7 linked regions of the Sus scrofa genome follow. The protein of the gene in region 7 interacts with the protein of the main gene of each other region in a pairwise test. Links are inferred from orthologs where the notes say so. Each region holds a gene or a part of one and is shown on either strand. Other genes may lie near its edges.

Evidence for each region.
Region 1: the proteins of KEAP1 (region 7) and PRKAG1 interact in binary tests that used the Homo sapiens proteins (3 or more experiments, as listed by UniProt). The two-hybrid records come from large-scale screens. The link is inferred for Sus scrofa from reciprocal best matches to the Homo sapiens genes KEAP1 and PRKAG1.
Region 2: the proteins of KEAP1 (region 7) and MAD2L1 interact in binary tests that used the Homo sapiens proteins (3 or more experiments, as listed by UniProt). The two-hybrid records come from large-scale screens. The link is inferred for Sus scrofa from reciprocal best matches to the Homo sapiens genes KEAP1 and MAD2L1.
Region 3: the proteins of KEAP1 (region 7) and DPP3 interact in binary tests that used the Homo sapiens proteins (3 or more experiments, as listed by UniProt). The two-hybrid records come from large-scale screens. The link is inferred for Sus scrofa from reciprocal best matches to the Homo sapiens genes KEAP1 and DPP3.
Region 4: the proteins of KEAP1 (region 7) and HSP90AA1 interact in a two-hybrid assay, tested with the Homo sapiens proteins (2 studies listed by BioGRID). The link is inferred for Sus scrofa from reciprocal best matches to the Homo sapiens genes KEAP1 and HSP90AA1.
Region 5: the proteins of KEAP1 (region 7) and WDR83 interact in binary tests that used the Homo sapiens proteins (3 or more experiments, as listed by UniProt). The two-hybrid records come from large-scale screens. The link is inferred for Sus scrofa from reciprocal best matches to the Homo sapiens genes KEAP1 and WDR83.
Region 6: the proteins of KEAP1 (region 7) and NFE2L1 interact in binary tests that used the Homo sapiens proteins (3 or more experiments, as listed by UniProt). The link is inferred for Sus scrofa from reciprocal best matches to the Homo sapiens genes KEAP1 and NFE2L1.

Annotation. Positions count from the first base shown.
Region 1 is NC_010447.5:15,046,820-15,050,823, reverse strand, and holds the start of PRKAG1 (5'-AMP-activated protein kinase subunit gamma-1), read left to right. Parts: upstream 1-1,204; 5' UTR 1,205-1,244; coding exon 1,245-1,253; intron 1,254-1,324; exon of another isoform or gene 1,325-1,511; intron 1,512-4,004. UniProt on the Homo sapiens protein: AMP/ATP-binding subunit of AMP-activated protein kinase (AMPK), an energy sensor protein kinase that plays a key role in regulating cellular energy metabolism.
Region 2 is NC_010450.4:103,926,061-103,930,157, reverse strand, and holds the start of MAD2L1 (mitotic spindle assembly checkpoint protein MAD2A), read right to left. Parts: upstream 2,801-4,097; 5' UTR 2,589-2,800; coding exon 2,516-2,588; intron 1,763-2,515; coding exon 1,616-1,762; intron 1-1,615. UniProt on the Homo sapiens protein: Component of the spindle-assembly checkpoint that prevents the onset of anaphase until all chromosomes are properly aligned at the metaphase plate.
Region 3 is NC_010444.4:5,945,220-5,949,414, reverse strand, and holds the start of DPP3 (dipeptidyl peptidase 3), read left to right. Parts: upstream 1-1,395; 5' UTR 1,396-2,850; coding exon 2,851-2,902; exon of another isoform or gene 2,903-3,130; intron 3,131-3,201; exon of another isoform or gene 3,202-3,221; intron 3,222-4,032; coding exon 4,033-4,195. UniProt on the Homo sapiens protein: Cleaves and degrades bioactive peptides, including angiotensin, Leu-enkephalin and Met-enkephalin. Also cleaves Arg-Arg-beta-naphthylamide (in vitro).
Region 4 is NW_018084979.1:919,178-923,336, forward strand, and holds the start of HSP90AA1 (heat shock protein HSP 90-alpha), read right to left. Parts: upstream 2,801-4,159; coding exon 2,639-2,800; intron 2,551-2,638; coding exon 2,184-2,550; intron 1,890-2,183; coding exon 1,756-1,889; intron 1,456-1,755; coding exon 1,135-1,455; intron 927-1,134; coding exon 761-926; intron 490-760; coding exon 299-489; intron 197-298; coding exon 49-196; intron 1-48. UniProt on the Homo sapiens protein: Molecular chaperone that promotes the maturation, structural maintenance and proper regulation of specific target proteins involved for instance in cell cycle control and signal transduction.
Region 5 is NC_010444.4:66,310,040-66,314,243, reverse strand, and holds the start of WDR83 (WD repeat domain-containing protein 83), read left to right. Parts: upstream 1-1,404; 5' UTR 1,405-1,657; coding exon 1,658-1,760; intron 1,761-1,842; coding exon 1,843-1,963; intron 1,964-2,045; coding exon 2,046-2,151; intron 2,152-2,395; coding exon 2,396-2,444; intron 2,445-2,526; coding exon 2,527-2,653; intron 2,654-4,105; coding exon 4,106-4,173; intron 4,174-4,204. UniProt on the Homo sapiens protein: Molecular scaffold protein for various multimeric protein complexes. Acts as a module in the assembly of a multicomponent scaffold for the ERK pathway, linking ERK responses to specific agonists.
Region 6 is NC_010454.4:24,309,881-24,313,380, reverse strand, and holds part of NFE2L1 (nuclear factor erythroid 2-related factor 1), read right to left. Parts: intron 2,706-3,500; coding exon 2,490-2,705; intron 2,078-2,489; coding exon 1,988-2,077; intron 1,763-1,987; coding exon 1,604-1,762; intron 858-1,603; coding exon 1-857.
Region 7 is NC_010444.4:69,286,710-69,290,864, reverse strand, and holds the start of KEAP1 (kelch-like ECH-associated protein 1), read left to right. Parts: upstream 1-1,355; 5' UTR 1,356-1,466; intron 1,467-1,472; exon of another isoform or gene 1,473-1,602; intron 1,603-3,118; 5' UTR 3,119-3,165; coding exon 3,166-3,804; intron 3,805-4,155. UniProt on the Homo sapiens protein: Substrate-specific adapter of a BCR (BTB-CUL3-RBX1) E3 ubiquitin ligase complex that regulates the response to oxidative stress by targeting NFE2L2/NRF2 for ubiquitination.

The sequences.
Region 1 (4,004 bases), on a different chromosome or scaffold from region 7:
TATCTGGAGTGTAGGGGTGGGCTTGGTGGCGGTGTGTGGGCAGGCCTGCTGGAGGGGGAGCACGGTCGCTGTTGTGATTTTAGGTTTGTTTTTGTTTTGTTTTTGAATTTGGGGGGTTGCGGATTGATGGGGGTAGGGAGATTTTTTTTTTTTTTTTAAGCTGCTTCCTCAACTGTTTCAAGCTGCAAATGTTTAAGAGGATAACATCCCACCCCCACCCCCACCCCCACCCCCACAGAAACCACTGTAATGAAATCAGACAGTGGGGAGACTGGGCTGCTGACCCCAAAGCCATTGGATGTTCCTTTTCCAAGAGCAAAAGGTCTAGGCTCCAGGGATGGGGAGATTTGGCTCCAGTGAGTCAGGCCCTGGTTGGGGCTTGGGCCCTGGGATTGGGAAAAGGGGATGGGGCAGACTTTGTAAGCGTATGCTAGGTATCCGATAGTCCTGTAGAATTTAGTGAAGAAACCTTATACAGTTTTTAATTTTTATATAAACTAACTCAGACCCAAGCTACAAGGTTGGAATTTTGGTTGTTGGTTTTTTTTTTTTTTTTTAAGTACCCCGCCTGTATAATTGCATCAGAATTCCCTCCCCCACCCCCACCCCCGTGTTTGTATTTTGGGTTGGTTTACACTTGCACATATTCAATTTTCAGTTTTTCCCCTTTACGGTCTTCTCCCCTCACCTCCAGGACCCTCCCCCTTTTTAAAAAATAAATCTCTGACAAGTGTGAATCCCGTGAAGACTTTATTTTGTGTTGTGTGTATCCTGTACAGCAAGGTTGGTCCTTCGTAACAACGGATGAAATGATTCCCTTTTTTAAAGCGCCCTCTCTCCCTCCACCCCCAGCGCCCCTGTCCTTGGCATGTTTTGTATCAGCGATCATTCTGAACTGTACATAATTTATGTTGCAAGAGGCAAAGGGCAAGTTTTGGATTTTGCTTCTTCCAAGTTTGTTTTTAAACGACAAATAAAAAAAAGAACATTTTAAATACAAGCGGCTCCGTCCCGTCACCCTCGCCGTCGGTGGGATCAGCGAGGTCCCAGTGTGGACCGGGGGAGGGCGGTTTCTGAGGCTAAGCAACGCCGGAAGGGTAAGCTCCCCGCCTTCCGCTCTTGACTTGCGTGTGTCCCGACGTAAGCGGAAGTGGCCTTGCGGTACCGGACGTGGGGCGGGGCCTTCTCCGCCCCCCGCCCCGGGCGAGCTTCCTAAAACGAACGAACTCAGCCGGCGTCTCGCAATGGAGACGGTGAGGAGCGCGGGAGGGCGGTGGGGGGGCGCTGTGGAGCCTAAGACCCCAGTAAGGGGACAGGGAAGCCGGCGCTGGTGCCCAGGAAAAGAGAAGCCCCGCGTCTGTCCTATTCCATGACCCTGCTGCTCCGCTTCTTCTCCTCTCCTAGGACTGGGCCGCGTCAGTGCCTGCCTTCCGTCCGCGGTACTGTTAGCCTGAGCGGGCAGTGACTCCCGGCTCCCTCCTTGGAACCCACACGCACCCTGGCGATCTCAGGTCTCCTTTCCTTTTAGCACCACAAGCCCTTGAGAGGTTTGCCTGAGAGAGAAGGGTTGTGATCCAGCTTTGCTGGGTGAGGCAGGAGGTTCAGAGGGTCCCTCGCTTGCAGGTAGCACCTGGTGCCCAGTTGTCTGAGTGAGATTCGTGGAATCCTTGGCAGGAGGGACGTCTGAAAGCCTTTTATACCGCCTTGAGGTGTCCAGCGACGTCACATCCCTTGATAAGACTGAAAAGTGGGGTTTCCCTGAAGGAGGGAATCTTTTCAGTGTTAGAGGCCACTGTGTCCCTGGAATAGTTTAGGTCATGCCCTGCTCTGCGATTCTAAGCAGATGTGTTGTCATAGCTCCTTCTTGGCAAGCAGGCATTAACGGATTGTGGCAGGCCCGTGTCATCCTCCCAGAGTTGCTGCAGGTTGCCTTCGACCTATTTGGACCCACCCTCACTCTCAGGACCCTTGGTCTAGCACTCTGGATGGAGCCTTTTCCATTCCCTTACCTCTCCGACAGTGCTTAACCATGTCTCTTCTGTCAGGCAGATATGCCCATCTTGGTTTGGATCATCTGCTACTGTAGTTGTGTGAGGGCTGCAGGTTCACTTTTCTTTGGATCAGTTACATGCCCAGGCTAATTTCCTTACTGTAACCCTTTTCTCCACCTGCAGAGGGGTCATGTCCCTTAGGTTATACAGAGGAAACAAAACCAAAGTGGTAAATTACGATTTGCAACTGGCCACTCAGGCAAGGGAGTTACAAATTAAGAGCATTTTGAGCAAGAATAAAAGATCTGATTCCACTAAATTTCAAATAACATTATTTTTTACTCGGAAATGTATTATGGTTTACAGAGCATTCTTGTATGGATTTTCTAATTTAGCCCTCATACTTTAGGTTCTTAGAATAGAAATTGTTTTAAGAAGAAGGAGAAAGAAAACCCCTGCTTTGAAAATGCTCAGCTTAACTGGAGTGGGAGTGAGGGCAAGCAGTGACAGCTGTTATTTCAGGTAGACTGTAATCAGTGCCATCATCAAGATGCAAACAAGGGGACTGTGGAAGCATAGGGAAGGGAGAAATTACTGTGAACCCAGGAGAGGGCATTGCAGGTTGAGAGAACAGTGTGAGCAAGGGCATAGAAACTGGGGTATGTAGAGATTAATTGGGGGTGAGCCAGTGGTTTGGTGTTGCTGGAGTTTTGGATTTTGGTCACAGTTGGAGAAAAGACTAAAAGTAGGCTGAGGTCAGGTTGAAGGTATTGCATACCATGTTAAGTTTGAATTTTGTTTTTGTTTTTATTTTGGCCACCCTGCAGCATTTGGAGTTCCTGGGCCAGGGATCAGATCTGAGCCACAGACCTGACTTAAACCACAGATGCAGCAATGCCAGACCTTAACTCACTGTAGGGGGCTGGGGATTGAACCTTCTTCCCGGTGCTTCCAAGATGCCACTGATCCCATTGTGCCACATCGGGAACTCCTGACTTTTGTTTTGTAACAAGGGGACCCACGGAAGGTTTATGAGCAAGGTAGTGAGTATGCTTTAGGCATGTCCCTAATGGCTTTCTGTAAATGGATGGGGCTACTTCAGAAAGTAGTGAGTTCTTAGTTGGTGGAGATGAGAGTCCCTTGCAAATCTGAGGTACTTGGGGAGAGAACTGGGTGCCAGCATGGAAGACAAATTAAGAGGAAATAGATTTAGGGCAAGGAGACCAGTTTAGAGAATGCTATAGAAATGGCATGTACGAGGCTAAGCTTAGGAGTTCCCTTGTGGCACAAGCAGGTTAAGGATCTGACATTGTCACTGCAGTGGCTCAGGTCACTGCTGTGGCACAGGTTTGATCCCTGGCCTGGGAACTTTCACATGTTTTGAAAGTGGCGGGGGGAAAAAAAGTGGGGGGGGGGCTAAGTTAAAGCTGTGAAAGTAGAAAGGAGAGAGATGGATTTGAGACATTTCTAACATAGCAGCTTACCTCATAGATGTTAAGGACAAGTTTAAGTTGACCCTGGTCTGTCATTCTAAGCAGACATGTTGGAATAGCTGTTTCTCGGAGGAATCAACCCTCCTGTTCTAGGCACTGGGGAAGACAGCGATGCAAAAGCAAAGGTGGGAACCACAGTAAAAATAATAGGATTGGAGGGACAGATGCTGTTCTGTTTGGTATTGAAGCACTTGAGGAGTCTCTGTGACATCTGTGATGGCCCAGCAAACAACTGGAAATGTGGATGAGAAGTTTGGCAGAAATTGTGAATCTGTGTTTCAGCCTTAGGGTATGTCTTTGTAATCATATTTTATGTTTATGCAGTGTAGTAGTCTTAAGTTCCTTCTGTTATTAAATGTAGAAAAAGTGGATGTAATTATCCAAATCCTGGGTGAAGAAACAGGCAGAAAGATGGAGTCATATTCAATTGCATTAGACTCTATTATGTAGCATCTGTGTCTCTGTTTAGCTATGTCTCTTTTTCTTTCTCTCTATATAACTTAGGTCTCTGTTCGTATCA
Region 2 (4,097 bases), on a different chromosome or scaffold from region 7:
TGGCATTTGCAGCAACATGGATGGACCTAGAAACTATCATACTAGGTGAAGTTTGTAAGACAGTGAGACACCAATGTCATATGCTATCACTTATATGGGGAATCTAAAAAAAGGATACAGTGAACTTCTTTGCGGAAGAGATACTGACTCAGACTTTCAAAAACTTACGGTTTCCAAGAAGACACGTTGGGGGTTGGGGGATGGGCTGGGGGTTTGGGATGGAAATGCTGTAAAATTGGGTTGTGATGATTGTTGTACAACTATAAATGTAATAAAATTCATTGAGTTAAAAAAATCAAGCTGCTTGAAACAAAAAAGATTCATTTAAAATTAAAAACATGGAAGCAACATAAATGTCCACTGACAGAGGAATGGATAAAGAAGATGTGGTACATATATACAATGGAATATTACTCAGCCATAAAAAAGAATGAAATAATGCCATTTGCAGCAACATGGATGGACCTAGAGATTATCATACTAAGTGAAGTTAGTGAAAGACAAACATGATAGCACTTAATGTGGAATCTTAAAAAAAAAAAAAAAATACAAATGAAGTTATTTGCAGAACAGAGACTTTGAAAAACTTATGGTAACCAAAGGGGAGAAGTGGGGGAAGAGGGATGGGGTGGGGGATTGATTTGGGATTGGCATATGCACACTGAGGTATATGGAATGCTTGCCCAATAGGGACCTGCTGTATAGTACAGGGAACTCCACCAAACAGTCTGTGATGGGCTACATGGGAAAGAAATCTGAAGAAGAATGCATGTGTATACATGTATAACTGAATCACTGTGTTGTACAGCAGAAATTATTACAACATTGTAAATCAACTATACCTCAGTAAAAACTTAAAAAAAAAATAAATAAAGATGAGGGCTGTAGTGTTTTTTAGAACTTTGGAAGATCAATGTGTGGATATGGAAAAATATCCTACAACACAGAAAAATTAGAAATGAGAACCCTAGGTGGAGACAAACATGAAAGAGAAACTAGAAATTTTAGAAGAAAGAAGAGGAATAGATGGAGAACAAGTATTAATTAAACAATACTGACACTTCTTGAGCTAAAAGGAAAAAATAAGTATTCAGACTCACATGTAGGATTTAAGACAAGACAATGGAAACAGGTGAAAAGTAAGAAAATTCTAATGGTGCTCTGTTATTTGGTAGTTGTTCTTTTTAAAGTTTAGTCCCCAGGTTGAATTCAGTTTTGCTTCCTTCATCTTAATGATGGCTTTAGACTCCATGCAGCTACAAATATATATATAGTGGATTTTTCTCAGATAATGAACACCAATATAATTATGTAAAATTCCAACATGTTCCATTTGGTCACATAAACTGCAACACTCATTTCTAAAGGAGTTGATGGGAATTGTTTCATTAAGCCGTATCGCGTTCCTAACATGAAAATATTCAGCCCACTCAAAATGGGGTAAAGATGGGACTTCTTTTTGATTTATTTTCTTCCTCCCAGTTATTTCACTATATTTGAGATGGTAGTGTGTTTTACACCACCAGGTATACAGATGAAAAATGACCAGCAAGCTGCTAGAAAATGGATCCTAGAATGCTGGCAAAACTCAAAACTGTTTCCAACAATGAAATACCTTTTAGTTGTTCCACCACATTATTTAGGTATTTTATGAGCTCAGGATCAGTAGTTACAAGCAAGGTAAGTCCGTATTTCTGTACTCGAGTAAAGGTTTCAGATGGATATATGCCACGCTGATATAAAATGCTGTTGATGCCAAACGCTGAAAACAAAAGAAATGTTAAAAGTCATTTTCATTTTGTAATTCTGAGAAATAAAACATATTTAGTCATGTGGCTATGGTTTCATTAATGGTGTAAAGCTGTAAATGTTTAAACACGCGTTTGTGTTTTGCTCAAAGGTACAAAGTGAAATTAAAAAGCTTTAAAATTTTGCTTCTAAACAAAAAAGTGGTATCTGCATTTAAGTGGCAATAAAAGAAACATGGCAAACTGCATTTATCTACCAGTGCCAAATTTCATTTCATTGTAAAACAATTCTAAATTCAGACTTTATGGTTAGAGGATGTCAAAAGAAGCAACTGAGTCGTCCAACGCCCAGGCAATCCTCTCCTTTTTTTCCTCCTTTTCTTCTCACAAGTCCTGCCAGGTTCTATCAGAAGGTGCAACTGGCCTGGTCCAGAAGAACGCCTCCCCAAGTCTAGCCCATTACCGTCAATCCTGATTCACCTCGGGGTGGGTATGGGGTTTGCTCCCGGCTAAGCGGTTATATCGCCAGGCAGGCCTCAGCAGAACCTAGGCCGCCTCCTCCACCATTAGCAACGCATCCGGAAGAGGCGCCTGCATCCGCCTCTTCCAGATCCCTCCTGCCTGGCAGTACGCTGAGACTGAGAGGGCTCGGATTCGCGTCCGCTCTGACCCAATGGGTTCTCCCCGCCACCGTACCGAGCCGCGGGCCTACTTGGCGGCCTGGGCACAGTTCTCCCCGCTCTCCGGCCTGCGCGAGAAGGACTTACAGAAGAACTCCGCCACGATTTCGGCGCTCCCGCGCAGGGTAATGCCTTGCTCCCGGGAGAGCTGCAGCGCCATGGCCAGGCCCACGGATGAAGAGACGCGCTTTCACGCGGCAACCAGCCACACCAGTGACTTCCAGAGTAGTTCCCCGCCACCGGTTTCAAAAGTAACGACGCAGGACGCCGTCGACTCTTTCGCGCAGGCGCAACGAGCCTTTAGGCCCCGCCCTTACACCACGGGGTCTGGCTTGTTTTCTCCTTCCTCGCGTAGCCGCTCTTCGCGCCTGCGCAGTGGGTGGACGTGCTCACGCTGTTGAGTCGTTGCGTCGCGGTGGGTTCCTTGTGGAACTCCTGCGGTAGTTGGTTGGCTAGCTGGGGGCTTGCGGCAAAGACGGTATATCGCGGTTTTAGTGGCCGCGCCTTGAGTCTTCAGGCAGAAGGGGTAAGGAGCACAACTCCTGAGTTTGAAAGATATTTTGAAAATGCTCCGATCTGTCTGCTAGCTGTACCTTAAGTAGCCCCAGTGATTCTTAGTGGGCGGGCGGAACTCCTCAGATGCTTTGGGAGTTTCTAAAGCTACTGCGTGCGCACCACAGTTTTATTAGAGACCCTGATTACTTGTGGGCGCGCGGCTTTTCCTGAGAAATTGGTTTAGGGATTAAAGGGATGAACTGCGTCCATTCTTCTTTCCCTTGTCTGTTCTGGGCAAAGCTCACGTCTACTCCTCACCCCGACCCTCTGCTAGGCTCAGTCTGGGGGCAGCCTGAGGCTGTCTCTGATGGTCCAGCTTGCACTCTGCACCCCGCCATCCTTCGGCGACTGGTCAGGAGTAAGGTCACTTCACCAAAAAGGCCTTTCAACACTGAAGAACTTTTCCGTGAATTTTGAATTTTATTGTTAGGATGAGAAGTACTAAAGAGATAGCGCGCAACTAATGTGCATGTCAGTTGTTTTGAAACAAGTTTATTCTTAAAGTGGGTAGAAAAAATGTAAAATGAAATCTGAAAAACTTAACCACCTTACATAATGTTATTTAATTGTATGAAAAAATGCCTGAGTGTATTAGTTTTCTATTGCTGCATAATAAATTACCACAAATGAGTGGCTTAAAACAACACCCATTTATTATCAGTCCTTCAGTCAGGAGCATGGCGTGGCATAGGTGAGTTCTCTACTGTAGTCTTCACAAGTTTGAAATAAGGGTATTTGTCTGCAAGTGGGATCTTACCTAAAATCAGGGGTCCTCTTCTGAGGCCCTTGGTTCTTGGTAGACTTAATATCCTTGTTCTTGGACTGATGTCCTCACTGGCTTGCCAGCTGTTGGCAGAGGCCAGTCTTGTGCTTTTGCCAGGTAGCCCTTCCATAAATCTCAGGCTTCCAGTCTCTGACTTCTGGGAGGTCCCTTTTAAAGGCTCAAGTGATTAGGTCAGACCCAGTCAGATAATTTCCTCTTTGATGAACTTAATCCTCAAAGTGATAACTCCTAATAATCACTACTCTGGCCACACTAAAGTGGAGGGATTCTATAGGATAGGCTCCCTGGAGGCCACAAATTTTGAGGACGCCCTTAGAACTCTGCCTATTC
Region 3 (4,195 bases), about 63 Mb from region 7:
CCAGGCCTTTCCTGGGGCAAGAAAGCTGGAAAGACAGGTAGATGGAGATTCTGGAAAAATCAAAAGAGTACCAGCTTGATGTGGGCATCTTCCCCAGTGGAAGACAGAGCCTGAGGGAGAACAGATTCCGAGGGAAGGGACCTGGCCCAATCCACGCAGCTGGTTGGAGCCACAGAGACCACACCTGGGGCTGTTGAGAGGACAGGGGATGCGTGCTGGTGGTGAGAAGAGGACGTGATCAGATTTTTGATTCCAGAGCATCCTGCTGCTGCAGAGGGGGAACCCAGATGGGATGCTGGGGGGATGTGGAGACACTGCAACTCTCTCTCACACACACGCGCACACACATCCGGAGCAGTAGGAACTCAATTCTTCCTAGATTTCATCTCACTTTCTTGGGAACTAGATAGGGGAAGAACTCAGACATGTTGGTGGAGGGGGGCCAGACAGCCCTGGCCTTGGCTCAGCTCTGCTCCTTTCCAACTCTTGAAGCCTCAGTCTTCTTAACTGTTAAATGGACTAACATTCCCTGCATCACCAGATGGTTGTGAATGTATGGAGAGTACCCGTAACATGGTATGTACTTTTTTTTTTTTTTTTGCTTTTTAGGGCTACACCTGCAGCATATGAAAGGTCCCAGGCCAGGAGTTGAATTGGAGCTGCAGCTGCTGGCCTACACCACAGCCACAACAACACAGGATTCAAGCTGCATCTGAGACCTACACCATGGCTCATGGCAACGCCAGATCCTTAACCCACTGACCGAGGCCAGGAATCAAACCCGCATCTTTGTGGATACTAGTCGGGTTTGTAACCCACTGAGCCATGATGGGAACTGCCTGTATGTACTGAATGTTACTTTCTCACCTATCCCTCTTCATTCTCATGGGAAAGAGCCAAGGCTGGGGATGGTCATGACTCCAGGGAGTGGACCATGTGATACTGTGTGTGTGTGTGTGTGTGTGTGTGTGTGTTGGGGCACGTGGGGGGATACTGTGTCGTTAGGTCTAAGTAGGTCTAGACCCCACTTTAGGAACACCCGAGGACTTCCTAGGGACCCTTAGGGAAGTCAGTACAACCATTACCCTCACTTTCCCCATATGTACAATAGGTAATGAGATCCTCCAAGTCAAGCCGCTAGCACAGTACTTCAGGAAGTGCTCGTATTAGCTGTGATGATTAAAAATGCAGCTTGGGGAGTTCCCATCATGGCACAGCGGAAACGAATCTGGCTAGGAATCATGAGGTTGCTGGTTCGATCCCTGGCCTCGCTCAGTGGGTTAAGGATCCGGCGTTGCCCAGAGGTCACAGATGCAGCTCAGATCTGGTGTTGCTGTGGCTCTGGCATAGGCCAGGAGCTGTAGCATGTATTCCACCCCTAGCCCCCTAGCCTGGGAATTTCCATATGACATGGGTGTGGCCCTAAAAAGCAAAAAAAAAGCAGCTTGGTTGGGGGTGCTCCATGGAGTACTGGAATCTTTCCTTGGCCTAAGCTGCCCCCTGGTGGCAATGAGCAGCACTACCTCCTTTATCCAAGTCAGGGAAGGCTTTACACCCATTTTAAAGACAGTGAAAATTGAGGCACAGAAAAGAGGGGGGTGCTATTTTCTGAGTTCCTCCCTATAGTGATAATTACCATCAAAATCACCAGTTAGCAGCACGGTTGTGCTCAGCAGGGCCTTGAACACCTTTTGTGAATGAGAACCAGCACCAGTGGTGGGCGGCTGCTAACTCTGGGCATAGACACAAGTGTGGCAAAGCCCGGCAAGGAAGGTCTGTGGATTTCAGGTGTCCTCTCTCCTCCAGTCCTCTCTGCACAACACTAGGGGGCAGCACTACCCTGTCAGTACCTTACTCAAGCCTTCAACATCCCTCCAGTAAAGACAATTTTCAGCTCGGTGTTTTGGCTGAGGAAGTCAAGACTCAGAGAGGTAAAGTGACCTTTCCAAGGACACTCAGCCAGTAGGCAGTGGAAGCCTGATTCCACCTTAGATGGCCTGGCTTTGCCCCTTTCTCTGACCTGGGACCCTCACAGTATTCTGCACTGGGCCCAGGCTGGTCACTAGGCACTTCCGCAAACCTTTCCCCACTCAGGCCAGCCTCCTGGGAGTCTGTCCAGACATGCAAGAGCGGATTTCAGGATGGACTCTACCCTGAGCAAACTTTCCCAGTCACAGGCGCCTTTCTCACCCATCGGGAACCCGGCAAGCACCGGCAAACTCCTAAGCCCCTTGCCGCTTTCTACTGAGGAAACTGCGGCTCGATGATATTTAGCTGCTGCCCCTCCAGGCTGGTGGCAAGCGGCGCAGGGAAGCACTCGGGGGCGTTTCTCCGCATCTCCGCACAGTGGGACCAACTCGGCCCTGGCAGGAGCCCGCGGAAGGCAATACAGTCTCGGAAGAGTCTCCATCCCCGGCCCTTGAATCCACTGAGGAAGGGGCATCACTCCCAAGGGGCAGGTTCCTACAAACAAAACAGAGGTTGGAGGACGCAGAAAACCCCCCAAGAGAGCGGGGATCAGGACTCTCTGTGGGGAAATCCCCGGTGCCCTGTCCGTGCCAGCCACGCCGCCCGGCCTGGACTCGGGGCACCTGGTCAGCCCAGTCTGTCGTAACTAGGCCACCACCCGGCCGGCCACGGGAGACTCCTGACCCCCGCGCGAGCGCCCCCGGCGGACGAGAGGCCAAGGCCGCAGGGCCATGCCGCGCAGGGCCCCGTAGCGCCTGGGGGCGGGAAGCCGGCGTGCCGGCGGAGGTCCCCTCGGCGCGCCTATTGGCTGGAGTCGACGCCCATCCGAGCCCCGAGGCCCGGCAATTGGCGGGTGGGGGCGGAGTTCGCGGAGCCCAATGAATGGGGGAGCCGGAAGCAGGAAGTGAGTTTGCGATCCGAGCAGCTGCGGCAGGTGAGGCGCGGTGCCCGGGTTTCGGGGTCACAGCGTGCCATTCTCGGGAGACAGGGCGAGTCTGGACCGGGCGCAAGATCACTCCCTTTCTGCCTCTCATCCGGTACCCCTTTCAGATTCATCGCGGCCACGAGGCCAAGGAACGCTCCGGGCAGCAAAGGGTTAACACCCCTTTCAGAACCCAGGGAGTCGTGCTATTCCGGAGCCGCAGCGGGGTTGGCGAGTGAGGTTAGAAACTCATTCTCAGTAAGGGAGGGCGTTGTGGAGCATATCCTGAGTTGGGAGACAGCTAGGTCCCAACGGGGCAGTGAGACCTTCAGTAAGTTGCTTGGCTTCTCTAAGCCTCACTCTCCCTATCTGTAAAATGAGTTTTCTCCCAGCTCTGAACTTGTGTGGCTCCGGTATCTCCCCTGGCTGAGCACAGAGAGAGGGCAGGAGGACGGAGGGCCAAAGAAAAGGCAGAGAGGTGAAAGTGGAACCGATCCTGGGCTCGGAGAGAGGAAGGGAACAAGGAAAATCATTACTGCTGTAGATAAGTTCCATGCGATCTGGTGTGACCTCATCTAATTGGCACACCCATCTTGCGAGCCTGGGGTTTTTATCGACCTCATTTTAAGGAGTCAGTAATCCAGGCACAAAAAAAGTGGAACAGTGGACTTGATATTGGGAGTCTGGGGCTGAGCCAGGATTGGAACCTGGGTTTTCCTGCAGGGAGTCTGTCCTTGTGAACACAGCCGTGGGCAGAGTTGAAACACTTGCAGGAGAATGAAGGAGGAGGGGAGGTGAAGAGAGGCCTGGGCTGGAGTAGAGACACAGATCTCTGCTTCTGACCTCTGCCTCCTAGTCCCTCTGGACCTCAGTTTCCCCATCTGTAACACTAGGTAGTTGGATTCCATCTTTAAGATGGAGAGGCCACCGGCCAAATGTTGCCTCCCAGTATATTTTGTAATCTCCTTGGGTGGGTCACTAATCGTCTCTGGGCCTCAGTTAGCATTTCTGGTGCATGGGTACCATGGTGTTCCCTTCCTCCTGGACTTTGGGGAGGATTAAATGAGGCTGTGAGAGCACAGAGCCAGGTGTGCAGTTGGCATGTGCTAAGTGACGACTGTGAACGTGGTGATGGTTCTCAGCAGGGCCCATGGCGGACACCCAGTACATCCTCCCCAATGACATCGGCGTGTCTAGCCTGGACTGCCGCGAGGCCTTCCGCCTGCTGTCGCCCACAGAGCGCCTCTATGCCCACCACCTGTCACGGGCCGCCTGGTACGGAGGCCTGGCTGTCCTGCTGCAGAC
Region 4 (4,159 bases), on a different chromosome or scaffold from region 7:
TGGAATCCCAGAGCAAGAGGCATGACGATTACACCCATCTCGCCTTACCTGTGATGTAATAGATGTGTTTCTGGTTCTCCTTCATTCTGGTGCAATAGTCCTTGAGGGAAACCATCTCGTCGCCAGAAGCAGAAGTGTAGTACCTCAACAGCTCGGAAAGCTTCTTCCGATTTTGAGAATCTTCATGTATTCCAAGCTGAAACAAACAATGGTAGCTTCAACAAAACTTGGCCTTAAAAACAAATTCATTGAAAAGGAGAAGTAGTTTGGTTACAGCTGTTGTCACACGATTACCTACCTTAATATTTTTAGAGAACTGCTCATAGAACTTCTTGTAATTCTCTTTATCTTCGGCCAATTCAGTAAAGAGCTCCAAGCATTTCTTGACCAGATTCTTCCTGATGACTTTCAAAATTTTGCTTTGTTGCAACATCTCACGAGAAATGTTCAGAGGAAGATCCTCAGAGTCCACCACGCCTCTAATGAAATCTGGAAAAGCATGCCAAATGCACTCAAAATCACTCCGACAAAAATCAACAAACAGCTAAACCCAAAGAGAACGCAGTTTTCCCCATGCATTTCCAAGTCTGGAATTCCGTCTCTGGTGGCACAGTGGGTTAACGATCTGGCAACGCACTGAAGTAGCTCGGGTCTCTGCTGTGGCGTGGGTGTGACCCCTGGCCCAGGAACTTGCGCGCGTGGCACGGGGTTGACAGGATGAATTTGACAGCCGTCGTTTCTTAGGCTCAACTCTACTTACTCAGATACTCAGGGATGAGCTCCTCGCAGTTGTCCATGATGAACACTCTGCGAACATACAGCTTGATGTTGTTCTTCTTCTTTCTGTTTTCAAATAAGTCGAAAGGAGCGCGTCTTGGGACGAAAAGAAGGGCTCTGAACTCCAACTGCCCTTCGACTGAAAAGTGCTGCAATAAAACACAGCCGTGAGCAACACATACCACAAGCAACTCCTGCTGACAAGTGAGGCTACCTGACAGCTACACATCTGCGGTCACACAAAGCACTTGGGGGGACGCCGGGCTGGGGTAGGGAGAGAAAGCTGCCAGAAAGTACCCTCACGTTTACCCATTTGGGGCAGACAACCTGCTGACGCCAGCTTCAGCAATCACCCACCTTCACAGCCAAGTGATCCTCCCAGTCATTGGTCAAGCTCTTATAGAACTCCCCGTACTCTTCATTAGTGATGTCATCGGGGTTTCTGGTCCAGATAGGCTTTGTCTTGTTGAGTTCCTCTTGATCAATATACTTCTCCTTGATCTTCTTCTTCTTCTTCTTGTCACCATCCTTCTTTTCTTCTTCCTCTTCATCAGAACCAACATCTTCTATCTCTGGTTTATCCTCAGATTCCTTCTCTTCTTTCTCCTTTTCTTCCTCTTTGTCTTCCTTTTCTTCCGCCTCGTCGTCACTGACTTCTTTATCACGTTCCTTCTCCACCTTAAAAAGAAACACAAAATCATCACCTTTTTCCCCCCCAAAATTAAAAAACTAGTAAGCTAAAAGGAACTACAGCATGGACACCAAAACCTCGTCACCCAACTGAGAAACATTCAGGAGCCAGGAAGCTTCTGGTCAATTCCTCATAAAGCCACATAAATAACCCTAGATACCCCAACACAGTAAGAGAGAGCGCTTCACTAGTCTTGAGTCAATACTCAAGTTTGGATCTCTTCCTAAAAAGCAAGGATTTCAATTCACTTACTTGGCTGTCTACAAAGAAAATGCACAAATACTCACGAAGAGAGTAATGGGGTAGCCAATAAACTGAGAGTGTTTCTTCACAATCTCCTTTATTCTCCTTTCTTCCAAGTACTCAGTTTGGTCTTCTTTCAGATGTAGAATAACCTTTGTTCCACGACCCATAGGTTCTCCTGAAAAGGCAAGACACAAACTCAATTTCAATCTTAAGACCCTAATCAAAACTAAAGCAGCCCCCATTCGGCTCTCAAAGCCACAGATAACACTGAACTGTCCCGAGCAAGATTACTACAGAAGAAAATAGTCCCTGAGCAATTAAGGGCCAGGCCCGAGATAAATAACCACGACGTCAGGCTATCTCAGTTCAGGGAAACAAAAACGGTTTTTTTTTCTAATCTTTAACACAAATTGCACAGTATCTCCTGGGGTCCAGTGTCTACAGCACCCCACCCTCCACCGACGCCTACCTGTGTCTGTCCTAACGGTGAAAGATCCTCCTGCAGAAGACTCCCAGGCATACTGCTCGTCATCGTTGTGTTTGGTGATAACGGTCACTTTCTCAGCGACCAGGTACGCAGAGTAGAAGCCGACACCGAACTGGCCAATCATGGAGATATCGGCACCGGCCTGCAAAGCCTCCATGAACGCCTTGGTCCCAGACTTGGCGATCGTACCAAGGTTATTGATCAAGTCGGCCTTGGTCATTCCGATGCCGGTGTCCACTATCGTGAGGGTCCGGTCTTGCTTGTTCGGAATGAGATTAATGTGCAGCTCTTTTCCGGAGTCTAGTTTACTGGGATCCGTCAGGCTTTCGTATCTGATCTTGTCCAAAGCCTATCAAAACCCGCAAATGATTACGCCCGAAACCCCAAAATGGTGCATTTCACACCGACACCAAAGCCCAATCCCGAAGGCAACTTACATCGGACGAGTTGGAAATGAGCTCCCTCAGAAAGATCTCCTTGTTCGAGTAGAAAGTGTTGATGATCAACGACATCAACTGGGCGATTTCCGCCTGGAAGGCGAACGTCTCCACCTCCTCCTCCTCCATCGGCTGGTCTTGGGTCTGGGTTTCCTCGGGCATCTGGAAGGGACACCGAGCCGGCTCCAGCGCGCCCGCCGCCGCCGTCCCCGCGGGATCCGGGGCCGCCGGCTGACAAAGGGATGACCTCATTCCGGGCCCAGGCCCCGAGCGTGTGCACGGCGGCCCGAGCTGCTGGGGCCCCCGGCCGGCCGCCGCCGCCCCCGCCCGCCCGCCGGGCCGGGGGCTCGCCTCCCTCGGGGGCCCAGGGATCCCGGCCCGCGCCTCCGCACGGCCCCGGCCCCGCCGCGGCCCAGGCCCGCCCGCTGCCGGCGGGGGGAGGGGAGGCCGCGGCAGGCCCGCGGCCTGCGAGACGCCCGGACGCACCGGCCCCGCCACCCCGCCGCCCCGGGGCTGGACTCGGGGCCCGCCCGCCGGCCCCCAGGCGCCCCCGAAGCCCCCCAACCGCCCCCTCACCTTGGCTGAAGGACGGCACGGGCTCCGCGGCGACGCAGCACCAGGACGCAGAAGCAACTGGCGCGCCGCCCCCGCGCCTGCCTTATATAGAGGCGGGCCCGCCCAGCGCGCGGCGCCTTTTCCAGAAGCCTCCCGAACCTTCCGGAAGAACCCTCCCCAACCGCCGCCGCGGCCGCGCGCCCGCGCCTGCGCCCTGGCCGCCTCCCGCCTCTCCCCGGACGCGCGCAGGCCCGCGCGGAGACCCGCCCGCGCGCCCCGTCCTCCGCGGCCGCGGCGCGCGCGCCCGCGCCGGCCGCAGTGCGCCTGCGTGGCTTGGAACTCTCGCGAAAGTCTCGCGCTTTCCGGGGGCCCCGTCCCCCGCCCTCCCGCCCCGGGCCCCCGACCCCGGCTCGGAGAGCGCGGCTGCGCAGGCCGCGGGCGGCCCCTCGCCCCAGTCAGGCGCGGAGCGTGCGGACCGGGGATGGAGGCCCGTGCCCGCGGTTCTGGGAAGTCCAGAAAAGTAAACTTTTCACTTGTTAAAGAATGTCCCCACGTTGTGGAAGCTTCGGGTCCCTCGGCGTCACGCCCGCGACTGGGGGCCAGGGGCCAGGTTTAGGGGATCGAAGCAGGGTTGAAGGGTCTGGGTCCGACGCCACCTTTATAGGCGTGTGGAGGTGATTAGAGCTCAGAGGCAGGTTGGGAGTTTGGGGGCCCCAGGCAGCGATTACAAGTTCAGGGCACAGGAAGTGGGGCAGCAGATGCCAGGCAGAGCTAGTTATGCGGAGTCCCAGGGTTCTCACCCCATCGTGGAGTGTAGGTGTGTCAAGAGGGGTGACCAGCGTATGTGCATGGGGGGCACAGGGGAGCCCCAGCGCTTCGCGGTCTCCATGTGGCTGGTTGTGAGGCTGAGGTGGGACAGGGAGCGAGGGTCTCTTCCCTCATTGCCATAGAGTCCCCAACCCCACA
Region 5 (4,204 bases), about 3.0 Mb from region 7:
GGGTTAAGGATCTGGCGTTGCTGTGGCTGTGGTGCAGGCCAGCAGCTGCAGCTCTGATTTGACTCCTAGCCTGGGAATTTCCATATGCTAGAGGTGTGGCCCTAAAAAGCCAAAAAAAAAAAAAAAAAAAAAAAAAAAAAGTGACTCCTTCAATGGGATACTCTTTGATATATTTTAATTTTGACTGGTTTGAGTGCTGAGGACCACAGCTCCAAAGCGCACTCCAAACACTGCAAATTATCCTGTTTATTTTAATCATAATAATCTCCCTGGTGCACCATATTCTCTCAAGAGCTTTAAATGTATATTCACAGCCGCTAACCACCAAGCAGAATATCTCCCTAAAACATCAGAAAAGGAACAAGAGAATGACCAACTTAAAGATGGTGAACCTGAAGCCAGTCAGGACCTGTGAATATCACAGAGGTTAAGCAAAAATATAAAAACCTATGAACACCATGCAAAGGAACAACAAAAACTACAATAACCTCAAACACAGCAGTGGGTAATGGCTCTCACACCTGAAGTGTTTTTTTATTTGTTGGTTTGGTTGGGCCACCCTCGCCCCCATGTGGAAGTTTCTGGGCCAGAGATCAAACAGGCGCCACAGCAACAACCCTAGCTGCTGCAGAGACAAATCCTTAACCCACTGAGCCACAAGGGAACTCCTCAAGCCTTTTTTTTAAATTTTATTTCTTTTTTTTTTTATCTTTCCAAGCCTTAAGTTTTGATTACACCTCTCAGTCAAGCTGAGAGTCCAATCAAAAGAGGGGCACTGTTTAAAAAAAAAAAACCACAGGCCCAAAACGGAGTCACTTGGACTAGGGCCAAGCCACCAAAGCAGGGCCTAATACCTAACTTAATTGAAGCTTCAACCTCCTCCAAAAAAATGTAGTTTTAAGAGTTCACTCAGTATTTTTCTGATCAGCACCAAACGCATTAGTCTGTTACAGAGTGCCTCTCCCGTCTCCATCCCCCAAAAAGAAGACGAGGTAACCATCACCTAATAAGACCCTTTTTTCCCCAAAAAGGAAGTGACTTAATCTAAAATAATCCTTTTTTCTTATGACTTCCTTGCCCTGCCTTCAAAAAACTTTCCATTTCCGTAGCCCTTAAGAGCCCCTTCCCCCCCTTGCTAGATGGGATACTGCCCAATCCATGAATCGTTTGATAAAGCCAATTAGAAACTTAAAATTTACAGCTGTTTTTCGTTTTTTTAACACCATGACAACTAGGATCCTCACCTCAGCACTTTGTTAGGCCTCCGTGGGTCCGACATACTGTTAGCGGACATAGCGAGTCAGAAGTCGCGCCTCTTCCGCTGCGGGTGTCGCAGCTTCTGGCAGCTTCCGATGTGGAAACGGAGGAAGGCTTTTGGAGTAACGCCCTCAGCCCTCGTGCTTCCGTTCCTAACGGCGGGGGCCGGAACTCTCCCAGCTAGGGGAAAGAATTGGAAGCCAAAAGTATTCCTAGAAAACAGGAAATGGGAAAAGAAAGTGAAAACTGGAAACAGGCTTCAGTATTCCCAATATTATCTCCAAAAAGCTGAAACTATTGAATCCGGAAGTGATAAATAGGAAGTAGACCATAGAGGACAATAATAAGGTTACACCCAGAGCAAGGAAAGCTTCGGTGGCGAGGAAGGGAGCCGAGTGCGATGGCTTTCCCTGAGCCAAAGCCACGTGGCCCGGAGCTGCCACAGAAACGGTTGAAGACATTGGACTGCGGGCAGGGGGCTGTGCGAGCCGTGCGATTTAATGGTGAGCGCCCTTATCTCATTCCGGGTCCTCCTCCCTCCTCCTGAGATCGGAGACCCAGTAACCCCTGCCTGGTGTTCCCCAGTGGATGGCAATTACTGTCTGACTTGCGGCAGTGACAAGACCCTGAAACTGTGGAACCCGCTGCGGGGGACGCTACTGCGGACATACAGCGGCCACGGCTATGAGGTGCTGGACGCGGCCGGGTGAGCTGAGGGCCAGGCCAGAATATGGGCGCTGAGGCTGTGATCAGAGGTCGACGTTAACCTTCCCTCCTCTGCCCTCTAGCTCCTTTGACAACAGCAGTCTCTGTTCTGGCGGCGGGGACAAGGCCGTGGTGCTGTGGGATGTGGCATCAGGGCAGGTCGTGCGAAAATTTCGGGGCCATGCTGGGGTGAGTGCAAGCAAGAAGGTGGCCTAATTGGAGAGGATGGTCATTTGCATGAAGGTGGTGACAGGGACCACCATTTGCTCAGTTACAGCACAAGGATCCTCCCCTTCCCCAAGGGTCGTCTTACCAAGCCCTGTCCTTGTAGTTCCCCACAAACCTTTCACCTCCCCTACCCCTAGCTTTTTCCCTTGCCTTTATCCCCATCCTCCAAAGTCCAGCTTCTCTAAATAGCAGTTCCATTTCACAGAAGGTGAACACAGTGCAGTTTAATGAAGAGGCCACAGTTATCCTGTCTGGTGAGTGCGGGGCCTAGGCAGGTGGGCCCAGGGTGCTGCTTCTGTCCCCCAAACCTGATCCACCTTCATGCTGACCACACAGGCTCTATCGATTCCAGTGTGCGCTGCTGGGACTGCCGCTCTCGGAAACCTGAGCCAGTACAGACGCTGGATGAAGCCAGGGATGGCATATCCAGTGTGAAGGTGTCGGACCATGAAGTCCTGGCAGGGTGAGTGGGGCCAGGACCTTGCCCCTCCCCAGGTGCCAGGAGGGATCGTAGCTGCTTCTGTCCGAAAATTAAAATCTGCTCTCCTCGCTTTGCTTACAAGGCCCTCTATGGTCTAGTCCCTGTTGTACTCTGAGCTTTTATTCATTCCTGGCCTCATTTCTGTTAAATATGCCACACATGCTCCCACCCCAGGACCTCCTTTTGCAATTGCTCTTCCCTCTGCCTGGACCGCCCCTCTGCTACTCATTCAGAGTATATCTGAACACCTCCTGCAGGTCACTTTTTTAGTCAGTGAGCATACAGCAATGAACAAGATAGGGAAATAAGGAAAAACACCTGCCCACATAAAGTCGACATTCTAGCTACAGGAGGCAAACAACTGAAAAAAAAAAAAAAAAAAACCACGCAGAGCTGCCTAAGCATTGCCACAGCCTGAGTGTCATTTCACACCTTGAGTGGTGGGGGAGCATTTGGACTGCACAGCCTGTGGGCTGGCCCACTTCCCACACATCTCCACTTGGACTGCAAACGGTTGGCTCCTTCTCATCCCCAAGTCCCAATTCAGATGCTACCTCCTCAGGGCGGGGATTACCCTCAGTCATCAAGGCTCTATGTTGGCAGCAAGTGCCTCTGGCTTGGCAGCACCTGTGTCCCCAAGCCCCCACATGGGGTCTGGCCCTGAGAGGGAGCTTGGTACAAATCCAAAACAGATGGAACGGGACCTGGTTGGCCCCTAGGTCCGAGTCTCAAAGCCAGTGCCTCAGGGAGCTCCCGCTGTGACACAATGGGATTGGCAGCATCTTGGGAGCCACTGGGACACAGGCCCAGCATGGTGAGTTAGGGATCAGGCATTGCTGCAGCTGTGGCTTAGGTCAAGACTGTGGCTCCAACCTGATCCCTGGCCCAAAAGCTCCATATGCTTTGGGCCAGCCAAAAATGACAAAAAAAAAAAAAGCCAGTGAAGTTCCTGTTGTGGCGCAGTGGTTAACAAATCCGACTAGGAACCATGAGGTTGCAGGTTCGAACCCTGGCCTTGCTCAGTGGGTTAAGGATCCCACGTTGCTGTGAGCTGTGGTGTAGGTTGCAGACGCGGCTTGGATCCCGAGTTGCCGTGGCTCTGGCGTAGGCCGGCGCTACAGCTCCAATTTGACCCCTAGCCTGGGAACCTCCATATGCCATGGGAGCGGCCCAAGAAATGGCAAAAAGACAAAAAAAAAAAAAAAAAAGCCAGTGCCTCAGAATTCCACTCATGAATTCACTTCAGTGCATGCAGTGCATGTTTTCCATGGCCAGTCCTGAGCATGACATGACATAAAGGGTACCCAGGAAGGGCAGGCACCCAGCCTTGCCCTCAGGGCCCTGGCAAGGTGAGGGGGTACAGGGATACCAAGGCTGGAGCCATGGACCTACTAGGCCCTGCAATGCTGCAGGTGGATCCACTCTTTGTTACAGCTCCGTAGATGGCCGGGTGAGGCGCTATGACCTGAGGATGGGACAACTCTTCTCGGACTACGTGGGCAGTGAGTATGGCTGGAGCTGCGGGGCAGACAG
Region 6 (3,500 bases), on a different chromosome or scaffold from region 7:
AAGTCGGCCTGCTTCTCCTTGCTGCCCTTCTTGAGGGCGCCGGGCGGCGGCAGGTCGGCGGCGTCCAGGGCGCTGGGCGCCATGTTGTACGTGTGGTTGTGGCCCACGTGCTCCAGGTAGGGCAGGCACGAGAGCTGGGACGGGTCCTGGTAGCTCATGCGGCAGAACTTGGAATACTCGGGCTGGTAGCCCACGGCGCCCTCGGCCTCTTCCAGATCCAGGGTCTCAGAGTCAGAGCTGTAGCCCACGGCGCCTTCCTCGGAAAAGGAGGAAGAGGCGGAGGAAGAAGCCGACGAGGAGGAGGACGAGGACGAGGACGACGAGGACGAGGACGAGGAAGAACTGCCTTCCGAGCTGCTCAGGGAGGAGGGGCTGTGGCTGGAGTCCAAGGAGAGGCCTGAGTCGGAGTCGAACTCCTCTTCGAGCTGGGAGGCCTGCACGGGGTTGAAGCCTTCTTCGATGGCCAGGTCCATCAGGCTGATCTCGTCCAGCATGGCTTCATCTAAGAGACCCCCCAGGGGGTCAGGCAGCTCGGGGCCCGCGGTGTCGTTGGCCGTGCCGTTGAGCTGGGGTGGAAAGAAGAGCCCCGCTAGGTTGGTGGAGCCGAAGGTGGAGTTGAGGCTGGTGGAGTTGCTGGGGACCAGCGGGAGCAGCGTGGAGCTGCTGGCCACAGGCAGGCTCTCCACCTCGGGGCTGAAGAGGGAGAAGTCCTGGCTGCAGCCCCCCAGGGACGCCTGATGCAGGCTGACATTCTGGTTGATGGGAGTGTTGGGGGCAAGGCTGTAGTTGGTGCTCAGCGGGTCTCCAGGAGGGGCGTTGTACAGGATTTCGCTCGTTGACGTGTTCACTTCCATGGCCTGGGAGGGGAGACGAGCGTGACTGCCGGCTCAGCGCCGACGCCCTCCCCAGGTGTGGCTGGGGGCTCCCTTAGCAGGCGCCCTGCACAGGCGCAGCTGCATGAATGTAAAGGCACGAGCCTGGAAACCCGAACCCACAGTGTCAACTCCTGGCCCCGCTTGATCCAGCAGGCCCGGCAGAGATGGGCTCCTCCCTGTGGACTTCACCCCAACGCAGGACTGATCAGCTCCAGGTCTCGTTTGGCCAGATCGCCCCAACACCTAACAATGACTACCCTCCACCGCACAATCAGCGATGCGCAAAGAACACCCAGCCTTGGAGTGAGAAAGGCTGGCTGTGCCACTTGCTGTGTGACCAGCAGCATTTCACTGGGCCTTTCTCTGAGCTCCAGTGTCCTCCCTTTGAAATAACAAAGGGCTGACTAAAAGGCCATGGGGGCCAAGTGAGCAGACAACAGCTGTGCGACACTGCAGGAATGTCCGCTTTTATTAACACTACATCTTGGAAACACCCAGTCAAGACATTATCTGCCTGAAGAAAAGGATGGAGACCTGCTTTAGGAGGTTCAGCCCTAGGGCTTTAACCCAAACCCCAATTCTACTGCACCCCCTACTGCCCCAAGGAGACGCCTGGACAGTCACTGCTCAGTGTTCTGACTTTCTTTTCCCAGAAGTAGAAGAGCAGCGAGCACGGGGACGCCCCCCACACAATCCGATAGGTCTGTACCGGGTTCTGATCAGCCTACCTGCATTTCCATGATGGACATCAGATCTTGCCACTGCTGTTCCAAATCAAATGGAGACTCTGTCCCCGTCAGGAGAGGAGACAAAAGGTTGTTTTGAAGACCTGGGGGCTCACTCTCACTAGGCACTGCTTCTGTTATGCTGGAAATGTCTGTGGGAAACTAGGGCAAAACACAGAGGATTTAACAGGGGAGGAGGAAGACCACCTTCTGCTTTCCTCCCAGAAACGACCACCTGAGGTTCTGTTTCTTCCTTCCTCAGAATTCACCCCCAGCAGCCAGGACAAGGCCAGCACCAAGAGCTGGCCCCTCAGGCAGCCTCAGAGAAACACACCGTGTGCAGGCTGCCCTGCTGGCTCAGTGGGCTCTCCCTGCAGTCCTGCTCACCTCTGCATTCTCCCCAAAGGGGCAGGTGGCCTCCAGCAGCCTAAGGCACTCTTCCAGGGACAGGGCTGTCTGGTCCTCCCCACCAGGCACCTGTGGCAACAGCAACTGTAAGTCTGACTGCCCTGGGCCTTGGCTGCCTGTGGGCCAAAGCCCTTCCCCAGTCTTTCCAAGGGAAGCCTGAAGGAGGCCCCGTGTGGCTGGTTGCAGGCCGACACTGTCCCTCCATTCCCAGGCTCGGCTGGCCTTGAGTCCCAGACTCCAGGAGAGAAGAGAGTGGGAGAGTCCTGACACACACAGAAAGCTGCCAGGTGCTCTGCCTCCCGTGTGCTGTTCCTCCCCAAGGCGTGGCCCCTCTGCTGCCACTGCTCTTCCACTCCCGCTTCCTCAGCCCTTCACTCGGACTCCAAGACCCCAACCCAAGACATACGTTCAGGCCCACCCCACAGACCCAAGCTGCCTTTTCTAAAGAGACGTTTCCGGAAGTGGGCAGAGGCAGAAGTACCTGTGCAGGGAAGCTCTCCCCAGTCTCTCCATCCACTAGCAGGTTTTGTGCCAGAGCTTCTGCACCCTCGCCTGGCCAGGTGTCCTCCTGCTCTGCTCCATCTTGCAGTTCCTTATCCACATCCTGCTCTTTCTGGCGATGACTGTAGTCAAAAATCTCACGCCCAGCCCCCAGGTCAATATCCTGTCGCCAAAGGATGTCAATCAGATCTATATCCTGAAAGACAGAGCACTGTGACTTTAGCTGTGCGGTCCAGGGGCCCCTCCCAGTCCTGCCCCTCAGAGGTTCCCCCCCCCAGCACCACTCCGATTACTCCAGGGTAGGGCCCCTCCCTGGCTACACACCTGCCAGCCTCTACCTCTGCCCCCTCTGTACCAGCAAGGCTTCATTCATCCATTTCCAGACACAAGCCTCCAAAAAGAAAGTGCTAGCAAAACCCACGAGCATGACATCCCATCCCCACCGTACAGGTCTGTGGGCTCAGGATCTGGACCAGAGACACAGCCAGGCCAAAAGGCAGGACCATCTCACCACTACTTAAGAAGAAAGGGGGAAGCAGGAGACACGTCTCATTTTGGGAATGGGAATCCCTTGAAACTTGGGTTGTAGGAAGCCGGCCACAGCAAGCCAGGGGGAACTGTCACGCAGAATTGCTTCGCAGTGGCCAGGCTTGCATCAGCCTGTGGTGCCATTTCATTTGCATAAAGGGGTGGGGTGGGCTGGAAAGGAAAATCCCTGCATTTGCAACCACCTGATGCAACCAATGACAACGAAAGGCCATCTCCAGCCTGTCCTAGAGCCATTCCCCCTTCCCTGGCTGAGGCAAGAGGATGCCTCAACACCCACAACTCTTAAAGCCCAGGCTCACCTCAAGATCCATCCCTGCCAGAATGCCCACTCTCAGCTGATCCTAGCAAGCCGCCTCAATCCCAGGAGAGCCTCGGGCAGTCAGATGATCCTCACTGAGCACCCCACCCCTGCCAAGGCCAGCCCCACGGTATCCCCTCATGC
Region 7 (4,155 bases):
ATCTGAGTGGCATCTGTGACCTACACCACAGCTCAAGACAACCCAGGATCTGCAACCCACTGACCAAGGCCAGGGATCGAACCTGCGTCCTCATGGGTGCTAGTCAGATTCGGTTCCGCTGAGCCAGGACAGGAACTTCTCACTTAAGTTTTCATATAGATGTACTCTTAAAAAAATTTTTAATGCATTTATTGAAGTTACCTTTATATCACAGACAGCATAAGTGGTAAATCAGTATCACTTGCCATGAAGAATAAAAATCCATATTTTATTGGGCGCAAGTGTTCTTATTTAGTATTCCAGATAACCTAGCAGGTAGGTGCTTTTATTGTTAACATTCTTATAGCGAGGAAACTGAAGCCTGGAGAGGTTAATTAAGCTACAGGCCCACCCGCACAGAGCTAGAGTGGCAGAGCTGGAGTTCGTATCTCTTCCCGAGAGCTTCACGCTCTTTCAGATTGGCGATAACTAAAAAATAAAGACAATGAAAATTCAAGTGGGTAGACAATTCTAACTGGATCCTGCGCTGCCTTAATGTGAGGCCCGCGCCCTGTGAAGTTAAAGGGACAAAGAAGAGCAGGTCGTGGACAGCAGACACGCACAGAAATCGACAAAACTAGGCGGATGGAGGGGACTGCGAGGGGGGTACCGGCCAGATAGGCTTCGCGGTGATCCCTCGCCCGATGCCCAGCTCTATGCCCACGGGCGCCGAGGCACCTGCGGGAAGGGCGGGGAATCGAGACTCCTTCCCCGCCGCGCCCTCTCCGCCCTCTCCCCGCCTCCTTCCCGGGCGTCCTGAGGCTGCCCCCCCACTCGACGGCCGCGACCCCGAAGGCTGAGCCACCCCAGAACCAAGGCCCCCCCGCGACGGCGGAAGCGCCCGCGGGCCTCTCACAAGGAAAATTAGTCGAGAGCCGCCCCCGGCCGGGCCGAGGCCCTTAGGGCTTCCCGGAAGCTCGGTGAGCGGGTGGCACCACGGTGCCCCAGAGCCGCCGCGGAGCCCAGGCTTCCCCACCTCGTAGGGAGAGCGGCAGAGGCTACGCGACGACCCAGGTGAGCGCGGCGGCAGGTCGGCGGTGGTGAGGGATGCCCACTGATCCCTGGTGCGGGGACGGGCTGGGCCTCGAACCTGGGGCTCTGATTCTCTGCGGCTCCTACCACGAGTTTGGGAGCGCCGAGCGCTGCGGTCATTGGCCCCGTCGCAAAGACCGCTGTGGTCGCCGCGCTGAGGCTGCGCAGCTGGGCGACAGCTAGCGTGGGCGGGGTGGGGTGGGGAGCGGCCCCTCCGCTGTCCCCGCCGCTCGAGGAGGCCGGGGGCCGCCGGGACTTTTATTCTGACACGGCCGGCGCCCGGCTCTGCTTAGTCATGGTGACCTGCGCGCGTTCCGCACCTCCCCCCTGCACGCTGCGATGGAGGCGCCTGGGCCTGGGCGACGGAGGCGGAGCCCGAGAGCGGCCATGGCGGGGTGAGTGAGGCGGCCTGCGCCCGGGCGGCGGGTACCGTGGGCCGTGAGTGCCCTGCGGCCGTGCCTGGGGGCCGGAGAACTGCGCGTTGCGGGCCGGTCGCCTCGGGGTTCCCGCGGCTCCGCGGAGGCCAGAAGGGTGCGGTTCGAGTCGGAGCCTTTTGTTGGACGGCGCAACTCGCGGGGTGGCCCGAGAGCGACGCAAACCGAGCCAAGGGCCCAGGGAGCGCCGCTCCGACCAAGGCCGGGGGATTCCGGGACGTTGGGGGGCTTGGTCTTCGCCCTGGGGCTGGCAGTGGAGAGGCGGCGGCGGGGTCACTTCCTCCCTTTTCCAGGCCTTGGCAGCTCAGGCAGGACATGCGCAGTCTCCCACTTACCGCTTCATGGGGGTGGCGGGGGAGTGCCCAGGGCCCAGGGGGCACCGTTGGCCGATTGGCCCATGACCAAGAGGCCGGCCTGGGCCTCAGCTGGGGAGAGGCGGCCATGGCCCGGTGGAGGAGGGTGATCTGGCAGGCACACTGGAGTGGGCAGTCAGCCAGCCATAGCTCATTGACCCCTGCACGGTGCCAGATCCCAGGCAGAGAGGCACAGGAGAGGATGGGCACAGCCCTGACCTACACAGGGCTACCTGTCCTCAGAAACCTGGGGGCTCAGGGCCAGACGGATGGGCCATCCTTCAAGGAGGAAGCAAAGGAGCTCATTTCAATTCTTGACAAGTGCTGTGATGGAAATAAAGCAGGGAGGAGGTGACTGAGTTGAGCCCAGGGAAAGATGAGTTAGAGAAACTTGGGGAGCCTCTTGCAGATTCCCTCCTCCCTGAAGGACTTTTCAAAACACAGCTCCTGCCCTGGCTGTCGAGTCTCCACAGGTTTCTTGGAAACCCTTCAATAGTCATTATGCTCATTATACTCCTTACCGATTTTTCAGATTGCCTGTCATTCTGCCTCTGAGCCTTTGCACTTGCTCTCTCTCTGCCTAGAAAACTCTCATCCCACCCCCACCTCCTTCATATGTTCACCCCTCTTGTCTCAGCACCAACAGAGGCCTGGAATACCTGAGTTAAAGTAACTGCCCTCAAGTCACACTATCACAATGTGCTGTCATTTCCTTCAAAGCCTCAATTTTTGCTCAAGTCTTGCTTATTTTACTTATGGCTCCTCCATTCCCAAGTGTCAGCTCTAAGGGAGCACAGTGTATGTCAGTCTTACTCACTGCTGTGTCCCTGGTGTCTAGAACTGTGCCTGGTAGTGGTCCACAGTAGATGCTCAATAAATGTTGGTGAGGTGAATGAAGGAAGGAGATGGATATGCCCTAGGAAGGGAAGGACCATCAGATAACTGGAACAGAATGAGCAAAGGGGACAGGTGGACAGGAGCTGATTGTGAAGGGCTTTGCCAGCCATTGAAGAGTTTGGTTTTACTCTGTGCCACAGGGCTTGGCGGGGGGCAGTGTGGGGGGGATTCTGGCAGGGGAGGGACATCATCTGACCTATGATATAAGGTGGACCCTTGGGCTGGTGAGGCCATTGGGCAGTTAGCACAGATGGACACTGCTTCACCTGGGCTTGGGAAGGAAAACTGGTCTAGGAGTTGCTTTATTTTAGAAAAGGCTTGGCCCCAGGCCCTGCCCGCAGCCCTGTGCTCTCCCTCCTCCAGGCCTCTGAGTGCCAGTGGTGGTGTTGTCCCTTGTCATCTGGAACCCCATGCAACCGGAACCCAGGCCTAGTGGGGCTGGGGCACACACCCAATTTCTGCCCCTGAGGTCACAGCGCCCCGAAGGGGCAGGGGACACGGTGATGTACGCCTCCACGGAGTGCAAGGCTGAGGTGACCCCCTCGCAGCACGGCAACCGCACCTTTAGCTACACGCTGGAGGACCACACCAAGCAAGCCTTTGGCATCATGAATGAACTGCGGCTCAGCCAACAGCTATGCGATGTTACGCTGCAGGTCAAGTACGAGGATGCACCAGCTGCCCAGTTCATGGCCCACAAGGTGGTGCTGGCTTCATCCAGCCCTGTCTTCAAGGCTATGTTCACCAACGGGCTGCGGGAGCAGGGCATGGAGGTAGTGTCCATTGAGGGGATCCACCCTAAGGTCATGGAGCGCCTCATCGAGTTCGCTTACACGGCCTCCATCTCCATGGGTGAGAAGTGTGTGCTCCATGTCATGAATGGTGCTGTCATGTACCAGATTGACAGTGTGGTCCGTGCCTGCAGCGACTTCCTGGTGCAGCAGCTGGACCCCAGCAATGCCATTGGCATTGCCAACTTCGCCGAGCAGATTGGCTGTGCCGAGCTACACCAGCGTGCCCGAGAGTACATCTACATGCACTTTGGGGAGGTGAGTGAGGGCAATTGACATGGATCCAGGGCTTGGGAGCAGTGTCTGAAGAACCAAGGACAGATGGGAGCTCATTTCTTTTTGAGATGTGAAAGGTCAAGGCAAGGAGCTGGAGAAAAATGGGGTTCTGAATTCTTATTCTACACATCTTGGGCAACTCTGGGGAACAGCTCAAGAAAGTGAGGCCTTCATAGGTCCCTGGGCTCCTGGTTTCTCTGGGGTCAAAGGTGGGGACAGGGTGCAGTGAGTACGTTGGCATTTCCACACTGGGGTGCACTGAGTAGGGCCCGACATTTCAGGCCGTCAGCAAATATTTATTGAACACCCATGATGTGCTGTAGACCGCAAGTG